Neodiprion lecontei: one gene and its partners. The protein of the gene in region 4 binds, or shares a complex with, the protein of the main gene of each other region. Links are inferred from orthologs where the notes say so. Each region holds a gene or a part of one and is shown on either strand. Other genes may lie near its edges. The genes, in order: DNA-directed RNA polymerases I, II, and III subunit RPABC4; general transcription factor IIF subunit 2; general transcription and DNA repair factor IIH helicase subunit XPB; general transcription factor IIF subunit 1.

Region 1 (3,389 bases), on a different chromosome or scaffold from region 4:
CGCCCCTCTTCAATCGACGATCTGCCAGCCGCAGCTTCTGTATCCAATAGTCTTATTCTCTCCACGAGACACAATCGAGTAAATAAACGGCACTGATCGGTCACGGCAATGAAACTACATGAAGAAAAGACACACACACAAGAGTCACGGTACGCGGAGATAAATAGTAACAACAAACACACGTGGGTTTTACAATATTTTGACTTGAATGGATATGTATTTGAGCGAGAAACTTTTGACACGCACCTTATTCATTCACGTTCATCGGATGTAACGAAAACCTGCATCACCACACAACATGAGACACACAAAAACCACTTGATCGGATGCACGATCACGAGTAAATGACCAAAGGAGCGCGAATAATATCCTCTATTTTCACTGCGCGAACGTACCGACTTAACCAATTCTTTGAAGAATAGATAGAAACGATAACAGTCACAGGACCGCGCGACACAACAAAACACCGGGAACTAAACGTAACGCGCACGCCGACCGCTCGACACGCTGCGTGCTGCTGCTGTTACTGGCTGCTGCTCCGTGGGCAGCCGGTCCTGCTCGGAGACTGTGGAGATACTCGACTAGTTGAGTCCTTTCAAAACTGTTTATCCGTTGCCCTACCGAGGGCCGACCGCCGGATCTCAGCCAATCGGGTGCGAGGACGCCGTCTGGCGGTGCAGCTGCTCTCCCGCCGGTTCAGCCGAACCGAATCCCATTGGCGGCGAGATTTGTTTTCTGTTATTGGATTCTTTTTCCTTTTCTGGTGTAACGCGTCTTCTTCTTCTCCTCTCGTTTGCACGCCTACGCTTATATTATCGCTATCGCAGGCTGAGAACAACACCGTGTCCCGCCAACACGCACGCTGTGATGGCACACTTCCTCGCTGCTCCGCGATTCGATCACTACTCTTTCTCTTTCTCTAAACCGCGCGAGATCCTGACAAGGAGGCGGGACGGCAGGGACGCCCGCCAGCGAGAGCCGCGGTATACTAGGCGGGAAAGGCGGGAACGCATCGCACGGTTGCCAACCCTGCAAATTCGACATGTCTGTCTTCGCGGTCAATCGTTCTCCAGAGATTTTCATTACGAATTCATTAAGGTTCGTTTTACCTGACGGAAAATGATAGAAAAATGGAGTACCATCTATATATATTTCGGATTTTTTGTTACTGTTCGATACTAAGTATTTCAATTGTCAAGCTGAATTATATCTTCAACATGATGTCGAGAATACCAAATCACCGAAAAACCTTTGCGAAGGATGCGACTTGACCAATTAATCAAACTGCATCGCCAAACTTTGAGGATAAGTGCTTGAAAAGCTTACTCTAACCTGCTGTCGGTTAGATTGATATCTAGGATAGGCAAATTACCAGATCTATAAAAATATCGAGGATATTGTATGAAAACAGTTCTCAACTACCCTCATTCAATTAATTCATACTTCCATGCTAATGTGGGTATTATTACCCAAAAACATGTTTATTGCAACAACCACTCGATCGGTAAGTGTCGGATGTGTCTTCGCTATTGTCTCACGCCATGCAATGCAATTGTGCGCGCCGATTTTAGCGCTTCTTGTGCATCGTGGATTGTCGGGGAACTAACCAGGTATAATATCGACATTACATTAGGTTAAGTAAGGTTACTTTAACACTTTTAAGCGTTCTAAACACAACGATTTTCGGAGACGAGCAGAAGGATCCGTAAGAAACGCATAAATATTGGCTTAATTATCTTGATTACCTCGTGATATGGACACTAGCAGTAAAGCGGAATCTGCGCCTAAGCAAGCTATGGTTTACATCTGCGGAGGTGAGCGATACTTTGCCTCAAACTTGGATCATCGAGGTTATGTTATGCATAGCTTTGTTTACCGATACGGCTACACGTGGGTCTGAATAAGAGTTTTTTTTTTAAGAACAAAAGTTATTGTAGCATCTTGTTTCAACTTCACAAGTAATCAATACAATCGCAACCTTAAACTTACTTGACACATGATTAAACATCACACAACGATCAAGCATCCTGTCTGTTTGGTTATTTATCAGTTTTCTCTGTTGTATCTTCTCTGGCTTATTCTTCTTTTCATTATTGTTTTACATCTCGTTTTCAGAATGTCACCACGACAACGAGATCCGTCCTAGAGATCCGATACGTTGCCGAGAATGTGGGTACAGGATAATGTACAAGAAACGCACCAAGCGACGTATCCTTTTCTATTGTTGTCTGCCTCACCAATTGTTTAATCAACTTATTGAACTTTGGCCTTCTTCTGTCAGATCAAAAAAAAATAGTTTACTATGAGTCCAATTTGGCATCACTTCGATTGAAAGATCAGCACTGATAGCAGCAGAGTTTTTTGACTTTCTTGGTTTTAAACTTCATCCACGTAAATGTTTTAACGCAACAACCTATAACACTAGGTTGCTTTCCGCTGAAATTCAACGCTATCTTTTCACTGACGAGTTCAGGGACTTTTCACATGTTTTCAAATTATTGTTACGATTAATAAATTCCCATACTACAACATCATTGTTCGATATCTTGCCAGCTGATGATTTCACCACTGACCTTATAAAATCAAAAATAAACTCACTACAAAAATTTGGAAAACACATCTCCTTTACATTCCTTAACACAATAATAATAAACAGTCGTCGTCTTCGATGCTCGATAGATGTGTTGTGACCAGCCACAAAACCCTGTACAAATTCTTAACAATAATGGAATTCTATGAAGATGATCATCGCGCCTCAATTTATTATATGTAATTACACTGCGATGAATTAATATTTGACCATTTTTTCTTGTATGTGAAATAAATGACATATATGTCAAAGAAATATATTTTAGCTTATTTAATACATCAAATTTTCTTACTTCTAAGCAACACAATTGAATACGTTTTTTACTTTGGTTGTAAATGAATTTAAAACTCGTTTGTCTTTTTTTCTTTTTATTTCTTTTAATTTCATTATTTTCATTTTTTTAGGCAATATACTTTCTTCATTTACAATAAATAAATTACACTTTTTTTTCATCTTTTTTTTCCTTTTTTGCATCAATAAAGTATATAAGAGTTCGTTAACAGATTTTTTGTTTAATTTACGCTGAATTACGGAAGAGGTTAGGTACAGAGAAGAAGGTAAAGGTGGAAGAGCAACGGAGCTTGTGAACAATCGGGAGCCTATGCGAATACATGTATAATTTTAATAATTGATAAAAGTTGGATTCTACCTATTTTAACTACGTATTATTTTATACATCTAGCTAATACCTATGTATGTATGTATAATGTTTATAAAATCCTACACTCCGGTCCCTCGATCTGATATCAACAGGCAAAAGCCATCATTTGGTTCCAATGGTATGATGTAGACTTATTTT
Region 2 (5,331 bases), on a different chromosome or scaffold from region 4:
GATGTGAATAGAATTGTAGCATGTTTTTGACATAGAGATGATGGGGATGCTAAGTTCACACCGGTTGTAAGAATTACAGGAAAATTGTTTTTTCTAAGACGTAATTTGACTTCACATCGTTGAGTCCTGTGTTCATATTTGTGTTCATATCTCCTCGTTTTTATCCTCAGCCTACCTAGCTGAAGGCGACTACAACGTGATTGTGATCGATTGGAGTTCCATTGCTGGTGCTCTTTACGTGAGTGCTTCATCAAGCGTCAGAGGTGTTGCCGCCAGAGTTAGTCTGATGATCAACTTCCTCAGCGCCAACGCCGGCCTCAACGTAGCATCGACGAAACTCGTTGGACACTCTCTAGGTGCTCACGTGTCTGGAATTGCTGCCCGCAACGCTGAGGGCACAATCGACGCTGTCATAGGTGAGTAAAAGGCAGATGAGATTCTTTAACTCGTTCGAAAATCCGGTCTTCTTTACACAAGGAATCGTTTTTCATCATTGCACGAATATTTTCACAGGTCTCGACCCAGCGCTTCCTCTTTTTAACTCTGCTGGAGCTGGATCCCGAATTCACCAAACTGACGCTGACCATGTTCAGATAATCCACACAAATGGAGGACTTCTCGGCATCATGGATGCCATTGGTGATACCGATTTTTACCCCAACGGCGGTAGCAGTCAGCCTGGATGCGGACTGGACCTTGTCGGTAAGTTTCGCACAAGTTGAGAGTTTGTCATTGCGCATATCGCAGCACTCTAACACATTATCCTTTACAGGGAGCTGCGCCCATTCCCGCGCCTATTACTTCTTCGCAGAATCTATCAGGAACCCGACCGGTTTCCGTGCCACAGGAACACGTTCAATGTACCTGGAAGCACTTGACCGACACAACGAAGTGTACATGGGTGGTAGAGTTTTTAACAAATTGTAAGTACGAGTAGAAAAACTTTGTTTAGTACAGAAAACAGCTGCGGAGATACTTGTGTATGTCCACCGAGAATTATTAGTATCAAACCAGTTACAATAAAGAGAAAAAAACTTTGGAGCTTTGCCATTACAGCTTCGGAACTAATGAGCGATTAACATTATTTTTGCAGTGCCAGAGGCAGCTTTACTCTTGAGACAGCCAGACAGTCTCCCTATGCTTTGGGATGAGCAGAAGCCTTGATTTGATTTCTATAAATCAGAGCATGATGGCTGGTGTAATTGTATCTTATATATATATGTTTAAATATACTGTAATGTAATTTTTTTTAAAGTGCATTACCGTTTCATTATGCTTTGATATATTTTTTACTCCTACGCACCATTATATTTGTAGATTCTCTTTAATATTTCCGTATGAAACTTATGTCGAGTAACAATATGAACAAATCTACATCTGAGATAAAGTCTTTGCTTCTTCAACTTCTCTCTTCGCATCTAAACGATTGATGTAAAAATAAATACAATATATCACTATTTACAAATCATCCAATGCGGATTTCCGCAAATTTCCCTATTATTTGGATCCTATGACAAGAGAAAGTCTTTTATTTTCTCTCTTTGCCTGGCGTCGATATAGAAGAATTATTCCATGGGGACGCGATTTATCACTTTACTATCTCACAAACTCTGCTTAAATTCACCGAAGCTATTCCTGGAACGCCTTTACGAATCAAATAAATTTCCATTTAAGAAATTGCATCGATCTATGAGTTGATCGATTGTAATCAGTGAACTCAGTAAATCAAGATCTGAACTAGCAAATCACAGGCAGCAAATCGTCCAAACATTCTAAAAAAGTATATAAAACAAAGTACTAATCATCGTCTGAGTCATCAACTTTTGTGGCAGTTGCCGCTGGCTTCTGATCATCCTTGTAATGACGATACTCAGGTTTCAATTCCCACATATTTCTGTGCGGGTTCTTCAAGTTGTAATTGCACACTTCATTCAAAATTTCTTTCAAGTAAACCTGTAAATCAATTTTTTCATGAATCATTGCAAAAGTGTAATTCCCCAATTCTCAGAAAAATCGTATATGTCTGCAAAAAAATTTTATAAGATTGTGGCATAACTTACGATAGGCTGCCTGGTGATTTTGGCAAGGTCTCGAATATTGTAGTACTGATGTTTCTCAAATGCTGCAAATAGCATCTCTAATACCGCGTCTTTGTCATCTCTCATCTTCTTGCCTTCAGCCTTCTTCTTTTCGGCATATTCGATCTGTAAAAATAATGCAGATAAAATCTCCAAATAAAGACAAACAGAAAACACGGTAAAATTCTTCAACAATTACATTCATAACTTACGTTGTGTTTGTGATCAGATACAGGTTTGAAATTCTGTACAACCCTATCCAATTGTTGAACTTGCCTCTGAGGCACCGATGCTCGTTTTATGCTTTCCAACTTAAGCTTCATGTAGCAGTTGTCAGCTAAAAATGTAATTTCGAATTTAAATTAACAACGCAGTCGAAGATTGGAAGAATATTTCAATCTATTGAACTTTTCTGAAAATTTGCCACTAAAGTCAAGGTTCAACGATTCTGAATCACCCATACTTACCGTAAGGGCGGCATTCAAGTTTCTGCACTATTCTACCCTCCATGTAAAGTTTTTCAGTCTCTGGAACAATAGCATCCGAAGTGCTAGCAGCTGTAAAAATCATTGGAATAGACAATTTAGTAGATGCATAGATTCAAGCCAGAGAATGCATGCTGCATTGTCCTAATTTATTAATTCGTACTTTGAGCAATTCTAGGATCAAAGTAATAATAGACTAGCTAATGGTTTTAGTGATTTTGAAAGAAAAGCATACAGCCACAAAAATTGTTCACACTCACGTGTGACATGAGAAAATACACCCAGCATTTGACGAGTGACAGTAGTTACATCCAGCCGGTGTGCCTTTGGAATTTCCTCTTCCTCTCGTTCCTTCAGAGCTAAAACAGCTTCCGAAAGTCTTAGAGAAACTTCTGCTTTGGCCCCTGGATTTCTGCGGATAAAACAACCCTCATGATCAAGGGGAGGGTGTGGAGCGATGGAATGATTGTCATTTCTACAATCGTAAACGATCTTCGGTTAATTTAACATTTTTAACAAACTTTGTGATTTTCAGCTTGCCAACTTCTATATCTCCGGAAGCCTTTTCCCACTTGTTCGCAATATATTTAGGAACCTTAACCAACCATACTCCTCGTCCTGCATTACTCAAATCTAATTCTCGGTCTGTGTGAGGAGGCGGTGCAGACATGATACCTGAAAATAAAATATTTCAGTTTCCATTCTCGCATTCATCCTGGCAATTATGGGTCGAACGCTAGTTTCTGTCACCTTTAACCTAATTACTTATTGCATATTGGATACAAACATTAACTATCTCAAACCTAACCAAACTGACTATTAAAGTGGCCAGATTTCAATATTGGCACTGCTTACCTTGTTGCAAATGGCCTCAATAATTATAGACTTTCAGTATTTAACGAGGCGAAATGAAGGGTAATACTCCGTTATACTTATCTTCTGTAAATAACTGTTTAAATAGAGGTAAAATAAATTGTACATACAACAGAAACACTTGCTTCTGATAGTCTGTTGTAAAAATTGAAAGGACTACCTTTTACGAAATTCTGGGGAAATTTAGTTATTATATTTGGCAGCAGTGAGAACGGCTTACCAGAAGAGTCAACGCCGGGCTTTTACACGTATTCAAATATCGCGGTATTATTGTAAACCCCTACCTAAACATATCATGCGCATTTATTAACAAAAATAACAGATTTGTTCTTCGGTATGTACAGTTCTTGTGATTGCACAACTTCTACGTTCTGGATTCGTGAAAAAGAAGAAAGAAAAAAAAAAAGGGGTTTGATCAGGTAACAGGAAAAAAAAGATTACGACAGAAACAAATATAATAGACGTAAAATTTATAACTTTCCATAATTTGATTGTAAAGAAAGCATCGCTAATTCCTTATTCCTTTCCTTAATACGAATCAAAAATATTCTATCTTTATTGCGAGTAATTTCATATTTTCCCGCTGAAATTCAGTAATGTACAGTATAGTTCACGTCTATGACTTGCATATATTCAACGAATATTTTAATTCATCATTACAGTTACATTTTCCACGTATTAGTTAACTACGACTTCTTGAAGAAATTAAGCAGCGATACTTGCTTCCGCTTGTTAGCAGTCTTTGCTGCAACATCAGCGGTAGAAGGTTTTGCAGCCTCTACCGGCATTTCCTCTTCCTTATCTGAACAACTTTCGTAAACGTATTCTTTTTGAGTGACAAAATACCCATCTTCATCGACAAACGTTTTATCGACCAATTTCCGAACTTTGCGCCTCCCGCCTTCACACTTGACCAGAGGTGGCGAAGGAGAACTTTTAACTCTTTCAACAACTTGCGGTGGTTCTTCAGAACTATCAGGTTCCTCAATATCATCCCTAGTCTCGCTGTCATCACTTGATTCGTCACTAGATATCACAACTATACGTTTTCGTTTCTTATTAGTATTCTCGCCCTTTGAAGAAGTCTTGCGTTTTTTTCCTCGTGAAGAAGATGCTACTTTTTTTTTATCGCCAGTTTTCCCAGAGCTGAGATTTTTCACCGCCGATTCTTGTTTGCTAACTTTTTCAGTCTGTGGTGATTTTTCTTCAAACTTTTCTACGTTGGCCTTTTTCGAATCGCTGCAACTCTCCACCTGTACTTTTGCTTCCTTGTCGCTGGTACTTGGAGGCTTTTTCTTTGCTTCAAACCATGCATTCTTTTTCGGTAAATTAGTTTTCGGAGATTTTTCTTTGTCTTCATTAAGTTTAGGCTTTTTTGAATCGCTAATATTCTCCGGATTTTCTTTTGCCTCCTTGTTGTCCGAACTAATAGGTTTCTTCTTCTCCTCGAACCAGTTATTCTTATGGGGTGAAGTAGTTGTCAAACTACTGCTTGACGCAACAGGTTTACTCTTCACACCTTTCACAGATGTCTTCTCCTTGCTTTGCTTATCTATGGCCTTAGCAAAAAAATTGTTGAAGGCAGTTTTCTGTGTTTTTGCACTCGAATTAGCCGCTGCTGTTTTATTTGTGGTCGATTTAGCACCGGACTCCTTGACATTCTTGGCCTGATCAGTAAGCTTCGACTCGGTATTCGCATTTGCCCGAACTTTCGGAGCTGTAATCTGAGTATTGTTTTTCATCTGTTTATTCGCTAACAAGGCGCTACCCCAACGAAGAACTTCCATCTCATGATCAGACCTGAGAACAGACTGAGAAGAGTGGACAGCGCTCAATTGAGAATCGCCTTTGTCAGTAATGGCGAGTAGCTCTATCTCAGGGAGAGTTTTTTGCAA
Region 3 (7,935 bases), about 14 Mb from region 4:
ACCGATTGTAGCATCGTTAGATTATTTAATACTCCCAGGCGCTCGAAACGTGCCGGTCAAACTCGTACTACTTCATTTCATACGCATTTACAGACTTTTGTTTCGAGAGTTTTTGAAAATGCAGAACAAAGCACGTCCGATATTCGAAACATTGTATTCGTGTTCGTGGATTGACAATAATAACCAATTGCTTAACATATTCCTGACAATGGTGTGTCAGTGATATTTTTTTTATCAATGAATTGATTTTGACTTCAGAATAATCTTGAACTGCGTTGTATTTTCGTAGAAATTAGTTCGTTTGGTTCGGAGTTCGTAATATTTCTGGATAAGACGTATGAGTAATCAACCGAGCGTTTTTTATTCATGCTGAATAAGAATTTTATCTCCGACCGTAAAATTAGCGTCGTCTTATCTTATCAATGCGATATATTACTTAGGTGAATCAGCTTAGGTTACGAATCATGGCTAATTCTACTTTATTACTGGCTCGTTATATTACACAGGAACGACACGTATCTAAGATAAAATTGCTTACAAAAAAACTCGTCACGTTTAATCTCGTGACAAGGCGCAGTTAAATCAGATTGTATTGAAGGATACAATTACGAAAGATAATAATGAATCAATGTTAATTTGTGTAAGCTGCATCGAAATAACCTAAGACATGAATGCATGTATAAAAAATTAGATAACAAAGTATTTATCACAGATAATATAGTTCCAAATGTTCGCCTTTCAACGTTTCAAGTAATATTTATTTTGACATAGCTGCTTGTCAAAAGATTTGTATTGAATCAATAATTTGATCAGATTAAAAATAATGTAACAACGATCACTTGAACTGGATTAGGAGTTGATGTGCTATTAAAAGTCCATATTCTTTCTTTAAAATCGGTACAGCAGTTTGCTCTAAGATTTTATCCATGCAGGCAAAGGAGAAATCTATCGATGTCGAATCTGCGATATCCAACTGATATTATATGCGCGACGAATTTTTGCATTTACATTCACCTTTGAAGAGATTTAACTTATAACAACGGGGTGTGTGACCGAGAAAAGCTCAACGAGTACGAAATAATTGGTGGAAGACCCCACTGTATAATTTGCGTAAACATATCTGAAATATAAATACAAATTTAGGTTCGGAATTTTTTAAATAACGGATGCTTGTTGGCTGTCGATGATGCGGCGGACTTTTTGTATTCGTAATATACTGTGTCGTCAGCACCTGACATGGATGCCATATTTCCAGGCCTCCTCATTGCCTGTAATGAAAAATAGCGTCGATTGAAAGTGTTGCGATATATATTTATTGATTATTTTTTATAGCTGAGATTCATTATTGACGTGCAGTAAATAGTAGACCACCATATCAATAAACAACTGCATAATTATCGAGTGTTTTGGAAATATGCTCAACAGTGTATTGAGCGCTTTAGCACCTGATCTACATTGTGATTGATTACATTTTACAATTTAATGTACTAGGCGTAATTAAAATTTCTTTAAAAAATGTCGATGTTAAATCGTAACAATCATGCGGAATGTCATTCGACAATTTTCCATTTTTTACTAGTGAATAAAATTTTCGGCTCTGCTTACCAATCACTGAAGTAATAATTATAACTATACTATTTTATACTCACAGGTCTTGGCCCTTCTCCCGGAATCCTTTCCTCATCCGCATCCATGTCACTTGCTGACAATACCTGTTGTAATAGTTGACCTTGTTCCTCGCGTGTTTTATACATTAAGTCTGGTTCCTACAAGAAGACCGCATAGAATTATTTCCATCGATTGCGTAAGAAAATTACACGCATTTCATACAATACCAGCGTGCACTCTAGTATCAGTTGTGATTTAAAGTGTTTATAGAACTCGCGGAATTATAGATTATAGAAATACGGTACAGCAAAAAAATATTATACTGCTTACATGTTTCAATCTTTGCAACAATACAAGAATTCAATGAATGATTCATTCTTTATCATACTATTAGTGTGACGGGCACTGACAAGTTATTTTAAGAAGTTAAATAGTATTACGTAAGATGTTAATTTCATTTAAAATGATTTCCTCCATTTAAAGAAGAGGATGTACAATCCTAATTATAGCATGACGGCCCACACAAGAATATATCTAGTACACCAGCTATTTTGCATGCCACCTATTTTATGTGCGGTATTAATGTAACTATGAATGCTTACAGAACAAAAGCGAAAGCTGTGCATAATAACTTTGGTGTACAGGGAAGTAAATTATTCTATTTTTTGTAACAGCAAACGAATGTACATTGGTTGCCGATGCTACACTTTAAGGATAAAGAAATCATAAAGGAACGTAATCTACCTCATCCATTCCAGCGAGTTTGGTGATGACTTTATAAGCATAGCCTTGGTTGACAAGAAACCTTTGCCTCTTTCTTGAATAGTTCATTTCCATTGTATCCTGTGATACCAAGGTGTAAAAGAAAGCATTGTACTCTTCAGCAATTGCGCCTGAAACAGAAAATTATGAAGTTTAAGGTAGATTACGTAATTGTTAATTTAATGCTGACGAAATTTGTATTCAGAAGCAACTGGTGCAGTGTGTCTACCTTTTTTAGCTCGTAAAATTCTACCCAGTCTTTGAGCTTCTTGTCTCCTAGAACCTCCGTGAGAAGATATTTGTATCAAAACATTTGCTTCTGGCAAGTCGAATGATGTGTCTGCTACTTTGCTCACAAATATTGTATTCACTTTTGTGTTGAATTTGAAGTTTTGGAGGATTTGTATACGCTCACTCTGTAAAACACACAACACATCACCGATTACAAATGAAATTGACGACAAATATTTTGGGAAATCAGGTTCTTTCTTTTCTGTTCTCAAGATAAAATATAACATTCTCTGTTATTGCATAAGTCCCACGTAAATATTGCGGCAGCATTATCAAGTAACTCTACCTGACTGGTAGGACCGTAAATATAGGGTTTATTCATCTTGATTGCATAATGTTTCAGTGCGAAAACATTGTCGGAGAAAACAATTGTCTTATCACCCCTCCTTTCATGATATCGAATCAAATACTGACAGCAACGAAATTTGCTCGGATTCATAACGTAAAGCAACTGAAAGAAACAACGAGTATTACAGTTAAATACGATAATCAATCATTTGAAAAGATAGCAAAAAAATAAACGACAAAAAGACGAGTAAAAAAATTTTTACATCCTGGTTAAATGGACCTTTTGTGGAGTTATTCACATACCAGTTTCTTGCTTGTTTTACAACTCAGGTATTCTCTATAAAACTCCGGAGTCATGGGACACCAGACCTCAGCACACTGTACTCTGGCAATAAATCCTCTTTTCTGAAGCTCAAGCCAATTAGCTTCATAGAGTTTTGGACCAATTAAAAAATTCAGATCTGCAATTTTATCATCCTCTCTCAACAAGGTTGCGGTTAGTCCGAGTTTGCAGTGGGATTGAACAATGGTCAAAACTCGACGAAACATTTTCGCAGGTATTGTATGTACTTCTGCATGGTTGAAATATGTATGTAAATCAGTTGTATCAGTCATTTAAGTCAAATTTATGGGCAAAAGATATAAAACTTACCATCTAAAACCATAATACCCCATTCTTGTTCTTGCAACCATTTCATGGTCTGTTCAGCTTCCCACGACCGTTTTTGCGTATGTGTTATCATCGAGTAAGTTGTTACCAGAATACCACAACCCATTGGCTTATCCTTAGCTTCGCTTGTAAATCGACAAATCATGGAATCGTCGGCCGTCGACCACATTTTAAACTGCTGTTTCCATTGCTCAACCGATACTCCTGAATTACAAAGCACCAATGCGCGTTTCCGAACAGTACAGCAAGCCGTTACGCCAACTAAACTCTTACCAGCACCTGAATTTTAAAGTCGATTAAGACGAATATTAAAGTCGAATTGTTAGCAAGATTAGGGAATACTTTATTTTATAAAGTGCATGTTGTAGATCGTAAAAACACAATGTAAATATGATGTTTAAAGAAATTTTTATGTACCACAAGGTAGTACGATAACACCCGACCTGGCTCGTCCGTTACCAAACATCTTTCTCAAGCTCTTTTCTTGATATGGTCGCAGCACGGCTGATGGTTTCAGGTCAAAACTGAAAAACAGCAAAATCATTTGGATAAACGGATAAATGATACCATGTCACAAGACCAAATTCTGACATTATTGAAAGTACATACTTTATGTCAGGATTAACTGTATCGTTTCTGAAATCATATTCTGCAAGTAAAGGATGCTCCAATTCGATACATCTTTTTTGAATGACTTCAATTTTTTCCTGCAGATAACAATCATTGATCATTGATAGAAACAAATGTGAAATTAAATAACCAGCTGTTTATTCAATGCAAAGGTAGAATTTTCACCTGGTTGACTTCAAAGCTAACAGTTTTCAGCTGTGCTTCTTCCTCCTCATCTTCATCCTCTTTATCAATTTTATCATAAAATGTTGAGATATCTTCAGGCACTGCAACTGGTTCTGCTGACGGTTGCTCTCCATTTCCTTCAGCCGGAGCTGGTGCTGTTGTTGGGGTAGCAGTAGCTGATGTTTTTGTACCAAACTGTGGATTAAAAATAATAATATTCGCAATTGGGTGCACATTATAATAGACTAGAGAAGCATTATGTAACAGGAGTGAATTCTACCTGAGGAGCTTTTGTTTTATCTTGAACATTGGTAATGAAACCATCTTTGTCAGTCTCATCCAAGTTCCTTCTCAACCTGCATTCTTGAATGACTGGATCTTTAAGCAGTTTCTGCAACACTTCTGGAAATGGAGATTCCACAAAGTATTTGTTGTGTTTCAAGACCAATTTCACCTGTAAAGTTTCACGAAAATAGTCTGTAACAGTATGATGTACAAACAAAGGAAAACAAAATTATAAAAGATAAGAAAAAAAATGTTGAAGTTGATCAAAGTTCTTAGTATTTTCTACACTTATGCTTACCTTTCCATAAGATAACGTGCACAGTTGTATGAATTCAATGATTCCATCTGGGATGCTAGTTTTGCTCAACCGTTTTAGATATTCGATAATATCGTGGGTTTGGAGGCCCACACTCACGGCTGCATATAAGGAATAAGCAGTCAGTTTGTACTGTAAGGAAGGGTACGTAATTATTCAATTGCAGCGAGCTTGGTTTGACGAAATGTTTGGTAGTCATGAATAAAATAAAGAATCAAATTTGATATTCACCTCGTGAATATGCTCTGGTCGACAAACGGGCTCGGAAATGGCAATTAAAAAATCGTGAGCATGTTTGTATACCGGTGAAAATGATTCCAAGAATATGTGTCCATTTGGAGCCTGTAAAATTGGGATATTCTTATTATTCTTCTTTTATTTGCAGAGATCAGTTTAATTGACTAATAACAACGTACCACCCATAGTGGCCTCGACGAGTTGTCTGGCTTCAAGATCATTTGCGAGCGATAGTCTTTAGCTCCAAATTCGTCTTCAACAGCCCCTTCGTCTTGTTTTTCAATATCATTTTTAGCCGCATCAGGAATGCCTTCAGTATCACCACCATCACCGTGGTCGTCGTCGAAATATTCATCGTGATCTTCCTTACGTTTTTTCCATTTGCCCTTGTCTATATGATAAATAAATTGAGAACCGTATGAGTATGAGAAATTAAAAAATTCGAAGTGTATCTCTAAACGAACGGTGAAAAAGTGTTCAAGGGTTATGTACCATTATCTTTTTTGAATCGCTTTGGCGGGCCCATGATAGCCCCGCTTAAAAATTAGTCACAGGCAAAATGATTTGTACACTGATTCAACGCCGTCACACCTTGACACTGAAAAATCAGTCGATGTAAATCCCGGTAAATAAACTTATAACCACTACACAACTCTCACATTGCGGACTGGCAACGGTCAGCACTGTATCTGGTTTGACATAACCTCACAGCCCTCACAGGCAACCTGAAGTTTGGCTGAAGTATGACTTGAAGTGCGTTTCATGTTAAGTTAGGTCAGCTATCTCGATCAGAGCTGTCAGTTTTCTGAGCAAAACCGAGAAAAAAAACGATCTGCGCAGCATGTTGTAACCGTGGTTGTAACTTGAAAAAGCGAATTGCAATAGTCGTAATATGCATTATTATAAGGGACGAGCGATTGAATGATCACTAAACACGTTACAATTGACAACTAATGAAACTTGATCTTACTAAGAAAGTAAAATTAAAAGCCAGATAATTATAATTACATATTTATACTTCGGTTTAAAATTCTCTCCGATACGCGATCAATGAATGATGAGAACCAGGTGTTACAGCACGATTATCGAAAGTGTAAGTCAAAATTCGGTGTTATATTCGCCAAGAGAACAGGATTGTTGTTCAAGTCGGTTTTAAAGTATACCTCGAATATCAAAATATTTACTAATTGAAAGGAAAAAATCGCGCGTTATTTGTTGATCGTACATGGACTGCCGTAATCCTGTTGCGTCCGTGTGGACATGCATTAAAGTCGGCCTGTTTACACCACGGACTATCCACGTGGTCGAGTTTTTGCTGAAACGATCTAGATACACTGTTTATTCGGCTCTCCTGTAATCAATCAACGGTTTTGGTAACCAAAACTTGGCACCCAGGCAAGTTTAAGGCTTGCGCATCGAGTACGGCGCATAGATTGCGCTCATCGCTAAGAACGCACGAATTACGTTATTCGCGCGAATAATTTTACGCATGATTATTGGCAACCGGCAATGACAGAAGAAAATAAAATACCGTAGTTCACCTGTTTTAGAATTGAATGACATCCGCAGCTTGCTTCAGTGCGAATATCGTGACAGTAACAATCTTATAATCGTAGAACACAATCATACGGTGCCTGGGCGAAGCGCGCATGCCGGCGGCGCAAAAGTTCACAGCGCAGGTCTGATGTAGCAGAGAGCATATTGCTGCAGAGCCGCAAACAAGGAAGGATTCTCCGGTAGTCCATAAACCATTTTTCTGTCGTCAAACGGATCAAGCTTTTTGTGAGACTTGGATCGGTCACAAAAAGCGGGATTCGCTTTTCGCATAGGAATTGGCGAGCCGCAGAAGTCAGGATATCTGTACTTTGCTGGGTGGTTAATTGTGAGTATAAGCCTCATAACACCGTCGAACCTCTTCGCGATCCACGCATATCTACGAGTGGCAGCCTCGAGCTAGCTTCGCTCGATGTCACGATGCGTGTCTGTGGGCGTTAGATCTTTATTTCATTCCTTCTACAACTTCTACTACCCTCAAGATCTAACCTTTCTTCATCCATCCATCCTCCAATCGTCCCTCATCGTCGCACCGGTCTGTCCTTACTTACCAATTTAAGATTCAATCGATGAAAATTTTATAACAAACATGGCCGTCCGCCGGTGTCTTATTACCTGCTTACACCTCTGAATAACAAAGGTCTACGGACGTATTTTTGTCCCGCGTTTCATTCGGATCAAGGACCGGCAAGTGCCTGATGGGCTCAACGCGTCATCGTAGAACCCAGCGTACTTTCTGTCCTTCACCTCACTTACCGCGTGTTTGTTTCGGACGAACCAGTCTAGTTATGTGACGACGATCTCCTATTTTCGCAATACAACAAGCGTGCTCTTCGACGACTTGTCACTTCACAAAAATACAGCATGATATCTACGGCTATTCGCCGCAGGATTTTTCATCCACAATTTGTGTCAAATTTACAAAAGTATTTGTGGAACTCCTTTCGGGACGTGTAAATTTTTTACAACGAAAGTGTCGAAGGATTGATCTTAAGGTTGATAAGTATTCAGATACGGCAGGTTTTAGAGTTCGGTAAACCGCAATATTTGAACCGGTATGTGGAGTGATTATTTCTAAACTCTAATCTTATCGGTAAGTCGGATGCTAAAGGATATCATTGAAGCATGT
Region 4 (4,896 bases):
ATCTGTAATTGCGTTCAAGCCAGTGAAAGAAAAGATTAATGTTGAAACAGTGTAGTAATTAAAACTCGAAGTCTACTTCTGAATAAAGTACATAAAGTAATCTATTAGCACGATTATGCAAGAGTTATTGCATCTCACCTAAATGAGTAGTTGTCTGAAGAAAAACAAAGTCTTTTATGAGATCTATGAATCAAGTATGTTGGCTGGAGAAGTTGAAATTCATGAGTAATATTGCAATATTCTGCTATTTGAAACTGAATTTACATAATCATCTCATATAACAAGTTGTAGAATTACTTTCACGCCTGCCTGCTCAGGCCCAAAACTTATCACGCAGCTCCTTCCAAAATTTGCAGTTCTCTGTAATTCTTCAGTCAACGTATCAATGAAGAACTATCAAATGTAAGTAAACTAACCCTTAGCTTTTTTTTTCTTTTTTTTATCATCCTCTTCTTCTTCAGAATTCTTTTTCTCCTTGTCTTCGTCAGAACTCGAATCATCATCGTCACTATCCATCCATTCATCCATTTCTGATATTTTTAATTCCTTTTCTTTTTTACCAAGTTTTTTTCCTTTACCACCTTCAGATAATTCTGGATCATCTTCGGCGCCTTCGTCGTCGTTTCGCATTCTCTTTCGCATCATTAATGAAAAGTAATTCATGACTCTATTCCGCCTACTAAACTCTTGCTCAGCTTCTTCAGCACTCAAAGCTTTATATCTTTGTATTGGCTGGAAATTATACCTATAATTTGAATGAACTAATTTTTCTCACGAAATTGAACAAAAATTGAGATGTAACAGTAAAAATTTTTTTCACCTAGTTTAGTGCTTCTGCAACTAATACCATATGCACAATTACCAAGTTTTTAACGTCTATCATGGTAAACGTAATATTTATAATCGAGAATATTTATTCACTAGTTACATATAGTAAGGACACCGAAATAATGTTGATGGTATCAGAGACAGCAAATAGCTGATAATTTGTGTCGTTAACAACCATTATTAATTTCCTTAGAAATAATCTTCATAGAAGAAAAATACCTCTTGCATTGATAATGTTATTGAGACACTCTCTTGTAACGATATTGCTAAACACTAGCTGCTAGCTTGAGTGAAAATGCTTTTGTTTAGTCTCTAAGGTCTAAATTTTTTATACAGTAGGTTGAAAATTTCACTGAAAAACTAAGAATAAGCTATCAATTTTTTTACGAATTTATGTACTTTGTGAACTTACCATTCATGCAAAGGAAATGCTTCAATGGCACCATCGGGTGCATGAGTGAAAACATAGTATGCTGCATTCTCACTGACTCCACCTTCTCGAATTCCTTTGAACTTCTTCCCTGTTTTACCTCCTGATTTAAGAATCCAAGGCTGATCTTCTGGTTTGTATTTTCTACTTGTTATTCCAAACTTTTTTCGCCTTGCTTCTTCTCTTGCGTCGCGACCAAACTCGGATCCTGCTCCAAACTTTGGCATCTCCTCATCCATTCCTTTATACTCTTTCATGTTATTTTCACGCTCCATCTTGACTTGCGACCATTTTGAAAAGTCAACATTGAGTGTTGCATTAAATCGCATGACATTGTGCTTTTTTTTACTGTTCCTGTGGCAAAAAGGATCGAAATACTGATTAATACAAATCTGTAATAGGATCTTTCATGATGGTATGGGGTACATACTTCTAATGTAGCAAAATGTAAGGTACAAAATTGTGTAACACAAAGTTCACAATATTGGAACATTAAGTATTCGTTTATTCTAAATTTGATAATGTAAAATCAGTCACAGACTGAAGTCAAAATTAGAGTATAATTAATGTCACTCAGGCAAACTTAGTAAAGGAAACAATAGACTTACTTTGGAACTCTGATGCTATATTCTTGTACCGAAGGTACTGCGCCAGGCTGGACACGAAGGATCAAAGAGTATTAGTAAAATGATCAAGTACTGCACATATTACAAAATTAAAATTCATAAATCCAACATTTTTTAAATTTATGGTATATGTACTGATCCTTGGATTGATTCAAACACATTCCAGGCCACCAAGGTAGACTATTATTACTTGTTTAACGTGCAAAACAAACTCTAATGCACATTTTTTCACCTACATACATGCAAGAACCGCGATGCAGGCTATAAGACTGTGCCGCTTCATAGAGACAAAATACGGCTCATGAACGCAAAGAAAATAAACAAGACGGGGTAAATAAATAAGGCAGAATTAATAGGCAAGGAGTTGCAATGCGACAATGAATAGAATACAAAATAAAACAGGAACTTATTCCTCCATGGGAATACATCCCTGAGGTGATATTACGGAAAGTAATTTTAAAGAATTAATATATTTCTAAAATCAAATGTATCAGAAGGGAGATGTCGGGATGACTACAGCTGCGAAGCCAGACACTGGGAAAAATGAACGCACGGCTTGTAATAACTGTCATGAAAAATAACTCGAATCCATTTCAACAGTGGACTGAAATGTTTCAGAATTAATCTAAGGGTCTGTATATGGCAATCAGTACAAAACCAAACATATGAAGTATATGATTACCATGACTACATACCTATAATTATAATTGTGGAGTAACTTACGAAATTCTAAATATTATTATACAATTACGAAATTCTGTTGTCGAATTACTTCTAGCGCGAACAACATTCCATTAGCCTTACATTTCAGTATAACTGTACCAAATATCGCTAAATATATTGCAGTGGTTATGCATACCATATATTATCTTACAATATTAGTACATTGGGTACTGAAATTCATACGATAGTAATTCTAAGAAAAACTTATTGTGATTTCAAATTAATGTTGCGTAAAGATTGTAATGGTAATGAATACCTTCGTCACAGCTGTTGAACTCATTGTTGATTAGTAAGATCGTGAAATAAGTGATTACCAGACCGCATAGTCAAGTCATTCCACTACAGAGCGTACAGAAGGAGGGATATCCTGGAGTTACAAGAAGTGAGCCGATTTTGGCTGCAATTAGTGGTGGCGCTGTGAAACATAAGTTGCCCAACTGACTATAATTTAAGATACAATGAGTGTAACTGTGTAACTAAACATTCAATTTCATCACTCAACTTGGTATCAATCAGTGCTGCGTCGGTTATTTTATGTACCCTTATTTGCATCCAGACTTTGACCATGTTTTGAAAATTATATGCTCTAAGCCTTACTACGACGTCATGGCACTCCACGACGATTTCCAGATGCTAGACACTAGATTCAAACGCGCAAGTATGTACAGCTAGACGCACAGTCAATAATTCTGACTTCTGGGTGATCATGTACCAATTAAGCATCAAAATGCAATGGATCGTGGACATTCAATTGCGCTTTTCGGATTAAACCGGAAAAAGGAAATATTAAGGGTTAAGGTGCCGTTGTCTTCTCTTGTGAATATACATTTCGTGACGTCATAAGCACTTACCACGCTTTTGGAAGTTCAGCGTTAAGCTAAGCTCATTAATTTCATTGGCCTGTTCCGTTAGACCCGACCAATAATGATAATTTCTATGTTATTGTAAACTTGCGGACAATGAATCTGAGACAGCTAATTTTTGACACCAAAAAGTTATGCTGGCAACACAGAAAAACCTACAACGCCATAGTGGGCCGAGCGCGAAACAAACTGAATCTCAATGAACATAACTTAACCCATGACCGTCGAATCTAACCCTAGAATACCGCGGGGATAATGATTTATTGGATTGACACCATAGACTTATAAAAGATAGACTGAGCGCTCTTATGAGTCGCTTGAAGCAAAAATTTAAAGGACAGAAATATACCGGGAGTACTCCTTTCTCTCTCTGACGATATTTGTGGCGGGGATCGAGGCGGTAGAGGAGAATGAAGCGAAATTATGCGCCTATATCTATAGCTGTTCCACTTCCACTACGCCCTTGTCTCCCGGTATGAAACCGATTGAAAAGAGAGAGTAGTACTCCCGACATATCTCTATCCTTTATATGAAGGCTTCAGTACCTCATATAGGAGCGCTCAGTCTATCTTTATAAGTCTATGACAGCCCCCTGACACACGCTGCTAAAAGTGGTTCGCAAAATGTCCCTTGATTCTGCGGCCAATTTCCACCACTAGTGACGCTAGTAGTTACCTGACGAGCTTGCGCGCGGTCAGCGAGGGCAGCGAGCGTTTGAGAAGTCTACTAGCGCCACGTAGAGGACCTAAAAAACGGGGACAAGACGCGTACAATTTTTTAGTATACGAACAGTGGTGAGTGTGACGTCGGAACAGTACCTAGTGGAAATCTCCAGATGTTAGACACCGGAAACATTCACACGCAGCTACAGCTAGGCTCACATCAGTAGTTTGGGTCACCAATTACCGATTAAGTATTGAAATACACCCGACAACGGGCATTCTGTCGCTCTAGTCGAACGAACCGAAGAGGGAGAAATTGTTGGATAAAAGATTTAATTTGGCTTACCTTTTTGAGAGTATTCTGGATGCGATGACTTGTAGATTGGTGAGAGGTTTTAGCGGAATAACTGACTTTAATATTTGGATACTTTGACTAACTTGGTTTATTTTATAAGTTTGATATTTAGAAGTCACAAACGCAGAGTTACACAGTGTAAGATCTTAAACTTAGTATGACAAAATGGAGTTGAAGCTCGCTGAACTTTTGGGCAGAGTAACGTTGTATGAAAGTTTTAATGCAAAAGGCTAAAGGATTTTACCGCGAGACTGTACCGGAACTAGATCACGAATCTGGAGGTAGAAACCGAGAGAGCGATCGAGTGATCGGTCGCCCTTTTTATAGGGGTCGATCGTTGCGCAGAACGATCCCCCTCTCTAGTTTTTTGGTCACCTTTGCGCACCTCCCCTCTTTTCTAGGAATTCTA

Evidence for each region.
Region 1: general transcription factor IIF subunit 1 (region 4) and DNA-directed RNA polymerases I, II, and III subunit RPABC4 share a complex: the UniProt entries of both Homo sapiens proteins name them as parts of the TBP-based Pol II pre-initiation complex. The link is inferred for Neodiprion lecontei from reciprocal best matches to the Homo sapiens genes GTF2F1 and POLR2K.
Region 2: general transcription factor IIF subunit 1 (region 4) and general transcription factor IIF subunit 2 share a complex: the UniProt entries of both Homo sapiens proteins name them as parts of the TBP-based Pol II pre-initiation complex. The link is inferred for Neodiprion lecontei from reciprocal best matches to the Homo sapiens genes GTF2F1 and GTF2F2.
Region 3: general transcription factor IIF subunit 1 (region 4) and general transcription and DNA repair factor IIH helicase subunit XPB share a complex: the UniProt entries of both Homo sapiens proteins name them as parts of the TBP-based Pol II pre-initiation complex. The link is inferred for Neodiprion lecontei from reciprocal best matches to the Homo sapiens genes GTF2F1 and ERCC3.

The regions. Positions count from the first base shown.
Region 1 is NC_060264.1:19,860,954-19,864,342, reverse strand, and holds DNA-directed RNA polymerases I, II, and III subunit RPABC4, read left to right. Parts: upstream 1-1,608; 5' UTR 1,609-1,753; coding exon 1,754-1,814; intron 1,815-2,115; coding exon 2,116-2,208; intron 2,209-2,656; coding exon 2,657-2,679; 3' UTR 2,680-2,845; downstream 2,846-3,389. UniProt on the Homo sapiens protein: DNA-dependent RNA polymerase catalyzes the transcription of DNA into RNA using the four ribonucleoside triphosphates as substrates.
Region 2 is NC_060262.1:4,432,710-4,438,040, forward strand, and holds general transcription factor IIF subunit 2, read right to left. Parts: upstream 3,597-5,331; 5' UTR 3,419-3,596; intron 3,373-3,418; exon of another isoform or gene 3,314-3,372; intron 3,239-3,313; 5' UTR 3,234-3,238; coding exon 3,085-3,233; intron 2,976-3,084; coding exon 2,824-2,975; intron 2,636-2,823; coding exon 2,546-2,635; intron 2,416-2,545; coding exon 2,291-2,415; intron 2,205-2,290; coding exon 2,061-2,204; intron 1,954-2,060; coding exon 1,798-1,953; 3' UTR 1,152-1,797; coding exon of another isoform or gene 1,094-1,151; 3' UTR 924-1,093; coding exon of another isoform or gene 773-923; 3' UTR 703-772; downstream 1-702. Other genes in the region: phospholipase A1 VesT1.02, read left to right, coding at 171-416, 514-702, 773-923, 1,094-1,151; DNA polymerase delta subunit 3, read right to left, coding at 4,123-5,331. UniProt on the Homo sapiens protein: TFIIF is a general transcription initiation factor that binds to RNA polymerase II and helps to recruit it to the initiation complex in collaboration with TFIIB.
Region 3 is NC_060261.1:39,600,601-39,608,535, reverse strand, and holds general transcription and DNA repair factor IIH helicase subunit XPB, read right to left. Parts: upstream 6,005-7,935; 5' UTR 5,779-6,004; coding exon 5,745-5,778; intron 5,644-5,744; coding exon 5,432-5,643; intron 5,358-5,431; coding exon 5,247-5,357; intron 5,148-5,246; coding exon 4,998-5,147; intron 4,869-4,997; coding exon 4,695-4,868; intron 4,610-4,694; coding exon 4,415-4,609; intron 4,327-4,414; coding exon 4,229-4,326; intron 4,144-4,228; coding exon 4,037-4,143; intron 3,899-4,036; coding exon 3,602-3,898; intron 3,522-3,601; coding exon 3,253-3,521; intron 3,113-3,252; coding exon 2,948-3,112; intron 2,787-2,947; coding exon 2,600-2,786; intron 2,502-2,599; coding exon 2,353-2,501; intron 1,767-2,352; coding exon 1,650-1,766; intron 1,269-1,649; coding exon 1,140-1,268; 3' UTR 466-1,139; downstream 1-465. UniProt on the Homo sapiens protein: ATP-dependent 3'-5' DNA helicase/translocase. Binds dsDNA rather than ssDNA, unzipping it in a translocase rather than classical helicase activity. Component of the general transcription and DNA repair factor IIH (TFIIH) core complex.
Region 4 is NC_060261.1:26,083,806-26,088,701, forward strand, and holds the start of general transcription factor IIF subunit 1, read right to left. Parts: upstream 3,015-4,896; 5' UTR 2,888-3,014; coding exon 2,864-2,887; intron 2,850-2,863; exon of another isoform or gene 2,747-2,849; coding exon of another isoform or gene 2,744-2,746; intron 2,698-2,743; exon of another isoform or gene 2,580-2,697; intron 1,914-2,579; coding exon 1,867-1,913; intron 1,613-1,866; coding exon 1,241-1,612; intron 746-1,240; coding exon 417-745; intron 1-416. UniProt on the Homo sapiens protein: TFIIF is a general transcription initiation factor that binds to RNA polymerase II and helps to recruit it to the initiation complex in collaboration with TFIIB. It promotes transcription elongation.